Rattus norvegicus: one gene and its partner. The protein of the gene in region 2 purifies or fractionates together with the protein of the main gene of each other region. This does not show direct contact. Links are inferred from orthologs where the notes say so. Each region holds a gene or a part of one and is shown on either strand. Other genes may lie near its edges.

Evidence for each region.
Region 1: the proteins of Ptpn7 (region 2) and Mapk14 purify together in Homo sapiens (affinity purification with mass spectrometry; 3 studies listed by BioGRID and IntAct, with this or other methods). This does not show direct contact. The link is inferred for Rattus norvegicus from reciprocal best matches to the Homo sapiens genes PTPN7 and MAPK14.

Annotation. Positions count from the first base shown.
Region 1 is NC_086038.1:6,789,062-6,792,869, reverse strand, and holds part of Mapk14 (mitogen-activated protein kinase 14), read right to left. Parts: intron 3,366-3,808; coding exon 3,254-3,365; intron 2,637-3,253; coding exon 2,607-2,636; intron 2,346-2,606; coding exon 2,298-2,345; intron 1,010-2,297; coding exon 895-1,009; intron 260-894; coding exon 188-259; intron 1-187. UniProt on the Homo sapiens protein: Serine/threonine kinase which acts as an essential component of the MAP kinase signal transduction pathway.
Region 2 is NC_086031.1:49,122,369-49,126,615, reverse strand, and holds the start of Ptpn7 (tyrosine-protein phosphatase non-receptor type 7), read right to left. Parts: upstream 3,059-4,247; 5' UTR 3,005-3,058; intron 2,589-3,004; exon of another isoform or gene 2,541-2,588; coding exon of another isoform or gene 2,455-2,540; intron 2,036-2,454; coding exon of another isoform or gene 1,984-2,035; coding exon 1,862-1,983; intron 1,345-1,861; coding exon 1,161-1,344; intron 934-1,160; coding exon 849-933; intron 1-848. UniProt on the Homo sapiens protein: Protein phosphatase that acts preferentially on tyrosine-phosphorylated MAPK1. Plays a role in the regulation of T and B-lymphocyte development and signal transduction.

The DNA of each region.
Region 1 (3,808 bases), on a different chromosome or scaffold from region 2:
AATGACAGGTGTTTTTTCAACCCCCAAAGCCTTTTCTTGACAAGGTGAGCCACTCAACAAGAGGACAGACCTCAAAAGCAATGCCTGAACTGCAAAGAACTGAGTCTTCCCCACAAACGAGTAAGGGAAGCACACATCTAAGACAGCACACAGATGAGAAACAGGGCCAAAACGTGTTAAAGGATACGGTCTGTACCAGGAAACAACGTTCTTCCGGTCAACAGCTCAGCCATGATGCAGCCCACGGACCAAATATCCACTGGAATAGTAGGGAGGGGACAAGCAGAGACACAGTTTCTATTCATAGTCATGGACAAACTGGACTCTAACCAGGCGTGAAAGATTCAAATCAGCATTTAAGACACTTAAAGGTTGACAACCGTTTTTTTTTTATAGAAATAAACTTATTAAAACTGTCACCCACAGCTGGAGAGATGGCTCAGCAGTTAGAGCACTGACTGCTCTTCCAGAGGTCCTGAGTTCAATTCCCAGCAACCACATGGTGGCTCACAACCATCTGTAATGGGATCTGGTGCCTTCTTTTGGCCTGTTGGTGTACATGCAGATAGAACGCTCATGTACATAAAACAAAGCTTAAAAAAAAAAAAAAAAAAAAAAAAACCAGCCAACCAACCAAACAAACAAAAAAAACCCTGTCACCCAAGAAGGGACCCACAGGCCGTGCAACTCAGAATTTATATAATTAAGAGAAACAAGCAACTCATAAAGGGGCAAAACTTTGTTACTGGTTAAAATTGTGCACTCTAACAGGAGATGTAGTGTTAGGATTAAGCGTCCACTCCCCTAAGGCAGTGTCACAGAGCGTGACGTGAAGACCTAAGAAGTAAGGCTAAGCCATCCAGGCCAGGCCTGGGCAGGCGACTGGAGCAGTACCTGTCTGGTTGTAGTGCATCCAATTCAGCATAATCTCGGGGGCTCTGTACCACCGGGTAGCCACGTAGCCGGTCATTTCGTCATCAGTGTGCCGAGCCAGCCCAAAATCCAGAATCTAAGGGCAAGAGGAGAAGTCGGACGTGGGGGCAGCAAGTCCTGCCACTTCAGGACAAGAAAAGCAGGACACTTTCAGGAAGTGTGCAGCCCAGTCCTCACTTAGAACGCACGGTAAGCAGTCCGGGAAACTTTAAAATGAAGCCACAAGCAAAGCACGCCATCCCCCGCTAGTTTACTTCAGGTCCCCACGTGGACGTTCATGTAGGTTTATGCCTACGTAAACCTGTTTAAACCAATAGGCTTAACCACAACGGTGGCAAGAGCCCACTGACTAACAGGACGGCAGCCTACAAACTGTGATTCTGCAGCTCCATTTGTATGAAGAAGAGATAATCCCACAGTCAGAATCAGGTCAGTGGCTGCCTGCACTGGGTGAAGGGTGAGGGCCATGGGTCACCAGGAAGGGACACTCAAACTTTTTGAAGCTGTGGAGGTTATATGTCACAACTGTGGTTACAACACATGGATATTAAAACCCTATGAAGAGGTCCATTTTTTCCTTCTCAATTTTATGTGTATGGGTGTGTTGCCTGCATGTATATCTGTGCTCCAAGTCTGTGCAGTGTCCACAGAGACACAAAGAAAGTGGGCATCAGATCCTCTAGATGCAGATGGTTGTGAACCGCCATGCAGTGCTGGACAACAAGCCATCTCTCCAGCCCCCTGCATACATTTCAAAAATTTCATTTAAAAAAAGTGTAGTGCTACTTACTTTTTAAAAAATTATTTATTTATTTTATGTGTGTGAGTACACTGTCGCTATCTTCAGACACAACAGAAGAGGCATCAGATCCGATTACAGATGGTTGTGAGCCACCATGTGGTTGCTGGGATTTAACTCAGGACCTCTGGAAGAACAGTCAGTGCTCTTAACCACTGAGCCATCTCTCCAGCCCGCTACTTACTTTAAAAGATCGCTAATTTACTCAGGTCTGATTAGATCATTCAAAGAGCTGCAATTTTTCCTTTCAGAAACCTATCTAATAATGAGTGTTGCAGGAATGGTTAGCTGACATTTAGACTATAATATCCCTTTATTTCAATTAACGTGTTATATTTCTGATTTAATTATCTTTTAAAAATGAAAACAAGACACCGACGTCTGCTTCCAAAGTTACTCAAACAGCCTACTCAGCCCACTTCAAGTTTCAGTGTGACATTCCTACGGGCAAATGACTCTCCTGACAGCAAGCCATGGCTTATGCATCACTTTCTCTAAGGGAGGCTGGTCGGGATCCTGAGAACACCGAGGAAGCCAACAGTGCACCTCCTCTTCCTTTCCTTACCTTCAGCTCACAGTCTTCATTCACAGCGAGGTTGCTGGGCTTTAGGTCCTGGAAAGCAGGCGGAGAAAGTGCATCAATGCACACATGTGGAAGAGCGCCAGAGAGAGAGGCAGCTCCAGCTGCAGTCAGTCTGACACAGATTAGCCTTGAGCAGGCAAACAGCAAGTGCTCCTTTGCCGGTCTACACTGAGAGCAGTGCTGCAGTACCCACCTTCAGTTCCCAGTTAAGGCCGAGTTCTGAACTAGAGGCCACTCTTTTAGCCCCACCCACACTACCACAACGATCCCCACCTAAGGTCCGATACATACCCTGTGGATTATGTCAGCCGAGTGTATATACTGCAAAAAAGAACAAAGTTGGTTGAGTGAAAGCCATCTTCAGCTTTTTGGTATATCACTTCATCGAGACACCTGCAGTGTTCCCCTCAGTCATCGAGCACTGTGCAGGATCACAGTGGGTCACACAAACTAGGATTCCCACTCCACCTACGGGATGGAGCTGTCAACCTGTTTTCTTCCTCTGACCTCAGGAAGGGTTCCGATGTGCTAACATCAAAGGATGTTCTGGAGACACCCCCCACCCCAGCCCTGGTGGCTGGCACTCCTTATGCTGCACACAGTGGTTTTTCTTGTTCTGCCTCTCAAGTCCTGAGTAGGAATATAAAAGCAGCGCACAGCCCAAAGGAATGTTTTAAAGCCTCAGTATCACACTGATTGGACATCAGGCTGTATCAAGATGCTACTAACTTTTCAGTGTGGCTAAAGTCCCCATGTCTTAGATAGTCAGACTAAAGGATCAAAGGGAAGGACAACATAGCATTTGCTTTCTAGTAAACCGTGGCCTCGGAAATACAAGAGCAGCAGTGTGGATTGATCGTTAACTCATAAGAAAACCCGTCTGTCCTAAGTTCTTATGACACAGAAAGAGTGATAAGTGACAAAGTCGTTGCCTGTACCTTCAGCCCTCGCAGGATCTGGTAGATAAGAAACTGAACGTGGTCATCGGTAAGCTTCTGACACTTCACGATGTTGTTCAGGTCTGCCCCCATGAGATGGGTCACCAGGTACCTAGAAACAGAAGGGGTTGGGGGGAGTGGGGTGTTACATACCGATCCAGGAAAGACCGCTGAAGGACCACACCAGCCTAAACTGAGCGCAGCCTCCTACACGCACTCTAACCTCTCCACACTCACACCCACTACTCCTTGCTATGTAAAGAAAATACAGAGGTGAGAAGGAAGCCGTATAGAAGGAGGTGAGAAGGAAGCCGTATAGATAGACAGAGATTAGAAAGGCACACGTGCATTGTAGGTGCCTTCTTTCTCTGTCTTCTCTTTCCTAGGAGAAGTCTTATGTAGCCCAGGTCACTTCAAGCTTAGTCAAAGATGACCTCGACTCTCTGATCCTGGCCTCTACTCCCTGAATGCTAGGATACTGGACTGGACCTCTGTGGTGGTGTGAATGAGAATGGCCCCCATAGGTTCACAGATTTATATTTGAATGTTTGGTCC
Region 2 (4,247 bases):
GATGAAGAGTCTGGCTCCCCCTCTTTGATGGCTGTAAGAGCTTGCTAGAATTAGGCCAAGGCCAAAGGCTATCAAACTCACATTGACAAGTGCTCACAGAACCTGGTCTATTCCAGCAGGCAGTGAGCCTGGAGTCTCAGCACAGGGTAGGACCCATGTGCTGGGCTGAATTCAGACCACAGTTCTGGAAGCCACTGGACTAGGCTCCAGGTCTCAAGCCTGCCTAGGAAAAGTTGGAGGTGCTAGGCCCGGGTCTGTCTGTGTGAGTTCACACCACACGGGTGTGCAGCCACAGTAAGCTTCTGCAAACGCTATCTTGCAACTGGGCAACAGATGTCTATCTCCGAGGTGCCAGGGTGTGGTATTAGTATTTCTCTGTTGAAAGACAGTGTCTCAAGCATTGTTCTTCCTTGGCTTTGGAGAGGTGGTTTTTAATCAGTGCTTGTTTTGTTTTGTTTTGTCAAGGCTTCCTATAAACCAAGCTGGCCCAGAACTTGCTATGTAGCTGAAACTGGCCTGGAATTCCTGATCCTCTACTCCAACCTCTAAGTGTTAGAGTTATTATAGGCATATACCACTATGCCTGGCTTCAAGGTGTATAACTTTTTTAAAAAGAAGATTTATTATTTTTATTTATATGAACACACTGTAGCTGTCTTCAGACACACCAGAAGAGGGCATCGGATCCCATTACAGATGGTCGTGAGCCACCATGTGGTTGCTGGGAATTGAACTCAGGACCTCTGGAAGAGCAGTCAGTGCTCTTAACCCCTGAGCCATCTCTCCAGCCCCCAAGGTTCTTCACTCCCAGGGACACTGTCCCCCTCATCCTCCCTTGTGCTCCTTACTTGGCAAGATGGTCTTGTATCGGTCTTTGGAGGCATGGCCAGGGATATCCAGGTCTTCAGGGTTGACAAAGTTTGAGGGGATCTTCTGATGGTGGGGGGATAAATGAGTTAATCTCTGGTTCCCCTTTCCAGCCTCCTTTTCTCCCATTCCACCCTCTGCACACAGAGAGGAAGGGCCAAGATGGGGACAACCTTCTCTCCTGAGCCCCGGAATTCTTCCCCAAGGACCCCAAGGAGAAGAGAGGCCCAAGGAACCCAGCATGGTCTGATATGGAAGCGTAAAGTGATATGGAGAGGACCCCAAATTCTTACCAAGAATTCCTCTTCTAGCTGCTTGGGGCTGGGAGGCTGGTGCTGTAGAGTCCAGCGTGTAAGGGGGTGCCCGGCTGTGCGCAGGAAGTGCAGGGTGACTTCACGGGGTGTGTTCACTGAGCAGATGGGCTCGACAGTGCCCAGTGACCGCACATCCAGCATCAGAGCCACACTGGAGCCCCTTCTGCAAGCACAGCCAACCCAGTGAACATCCCGTAGCATTTGCTCTGCTTGCAAGCTCCTCATGGAGTTTGTCTGAGGTGGATTCACTTGGTCTTTCTCTTGACCTAGAGGCCCAGGGCACTCAAGGGTCAGGCCCCTACTACGTTCCCCTTTTCCCTTATCAGATAAGAGTAGAGCGGCCTGCAGCCCTCTTCCTCCTTCCTGCTGTCTCTCTCTCCTACTTGCAAGCCAGCACAGAGGCTCCAACACACGCCCAACTCCACAAAGGCCCCTAGATGTGTCCCAGAGATCACAATGTGAACCTTAGGGAGCAGACCCAGGGATGACGTGAAACTTAGTGCCTCAGACACACAAAGAATGGGCAAGCAACGTTCGAATGAGCATTCCTTAGGTCTGGTTTGGTTTGTTTTTGTTTTTCCAGGCCTTGTGGATTCTGTTGTTAGAACTGGAAAGGAAGGAAGGGAAGGGAAGGGAAGGCAACCCAGGCCTAGGAAGACCCTCTCTGTGAAAGATCTCACCTCTCCTGCAGCCGCACATGCTTCTTGGCTGGAGCTTTGGCGGGTGGAGGCTGAGTCATGTCTGCCCCCAAAGACAAGGTCGGCAGCTGTGCTCTGGAGCGCCCCTCACAGGCCTGGACCATGCTGGGGTAGGTTGCTGGGCCCAAGGGAGGCTCACTCAGCCATGAGGCCTGCCTGAAAGACAAGGTCCCACAGGCCTCACTAGCTAGAAGAAGGCTTCTAAGCGGAGGCCAGCCATCCCCTCAAGCAAGTGGCCTAACTTTTATCCCACAAGTACAGCAGCTCTTTGTTGGGACGCAGGACAGAGGACAATTTGAGGTTAGACTAGGAGGAAGATATAGAGAGAGCACAGGTATGGGGGAAGACAGGGAAGAATCCGGAAGAAGGAAGAGAGAGGATACCCAAGACCACAGGGCTCTAAGCTGGGGTCCACATGAGACCAGCAGCCTGCTAACCACAGAGAAGGAAGGCAGCTCTCTGAGTCTAGCCAGCTATAGACTTCTCTATAACGAGAAACTGAGGCCTCAAGTAGAATTGGAGCCAGTTGGGGATCCAGGCACGATGCACTTCTGGGAGGGTCTTCTAACAGTTACCAGTTCCGCTCCAAGATCAGTTGTGGCTCATGGGGTCTCTGTCCAGGGCAGTAGGCCAGGGGTGCTTCCTCCCTCCTCCTTCCCATCCCCCACTCTCCCGCCTCTGTAACCGTCACAGGAAATGGCCTCACTAAGCCCTAGAGCGCGACAGCGCATGGTGAGGCTACAGCTCGGGGTGCAGGGGAGAGGGACCATAGAGGTGATGAGAGCATCACCTTTGGGGCAGTCCCTGTCTCTCAGAGCTAGGTCGTGGGTGCTATGGTGGTGGGGTTAGAGCTGCTAACCCACAGGGACAGAGGTTTGGGAACAGTGTGGGCCGGTGCAGGTGTGGCTGGGACAGTACTTGCCCACAACAGGAAGGGGCCTTTAGCCTCTCCTCTGCTGGCACTCTGTGTGGCTTCTTTGCCCTCCAGCCACAGGGACACCAGATGTCACTTCTCATGCCCTGGCCAGGCATGGGAGCCCCAAACTCATGCTTCTTCACCCCATCTTTGGAGACCCCCTCCCACCCCAGGGTCCTGGGATGTCTGTACCCACTTAAAGTACTTACTGAAGCAGCTATGTCCCCAGGGCTGCCTCTTGCCAGCTGTCTGTCAGTCCGTCTATCTTTGAGGACTGAGAGGCTTCAGGAAGCCAGCTTCCTCCCTCCGCCCCTCCTGGCTTCCACCCACGCACACCACCCAGCTGCGGGCTGCCCCTCTGCGCCTGCTGCAAGCTGCCACCAGGGGTCGGGTGCATCCTCCCTGTGCCCTCCAAGAGCAAGCTGGTGCTGTCCTGCCATCCTCGTTGGGTGCTGAGGCTCTGGGAATGGACAAGGGATGAGGCCTTCCCCGACCACCTCAGGCCCCTTCCTCCGGATCCTAGTCGTGTGCTCACCCCCACCCTCAGGTCCTCTTTACTGAGAAGATAGCCATGGGGAACCCTCAGTTGTTCTGGTTGTGACCTTGGCTGGAGACTTATTTCCACTTCTCAGCATCTGTCCCTGTAAGCTCTTGTTGCTTCAAAGCCTGGGAATTCATGGCCAAACCCAGGCCCCCAAGGAGAGCAGATGTGTCACAGAGGTGCAGTAGGGGATAAAAAGAAGAGGCCAGGGCTAGGTAGGAAAGGTCCTCTCCTGGCCCCCAGTCCCTCAGCTTGCAGGCATAGGCTAGTTACCAGAGAATAAATAACAGAGGTAAACTGGAGAAGACTCTGGGTTTTGCTTCCATAGGAACCCCCCTGACTACCCCTCTGGGAGTGTCTTAGATCCCTGTAACTCCTCTGAAGACTTACAGATAGTCGAAGGCTGTGGCCCTCACATCAGAGACGTCTCACGTCCTCTTCACCACAGGGCCACTTGGATGCTTGGGGTGTGGGGAGGGAACGGTCTCCAAGTTCAAGACTCCACAGTCCCCCACCCCTGCCTGGCTTTGGTAGGCCCTTCACTGGCCCTCAGCCCAACTGGTTTGTGGTTCATGCTTGCTTGCAAGACTCCTTCACTCTGTAATGTTCCCCAAAAGCTTTCCTGGGCCCCAGCACTTGAATTCCACATCCTCTCTCCTCCTCCCACTTCTCTGATTCAACTGTCAAACGGTGACACTGGAAAAAGAACTGCTGTGCTGTAAGCACAGGGGTGGCACCTGAGAGGAGAGGGGAGGGGCTGCCCTTCTCCTGGCCCATGGGGAGGAGGGGAGGACCAGGGATGAGGCTTTGAAGTCAAGAAGGCTTGGGTCATTCTCGGCTGTAAGTCAAAGGGTAGCTCTCCCGAGCCTCTCATGGCTGGTTGATTCTGGCTCCCTCTTCACTGTAGCCTG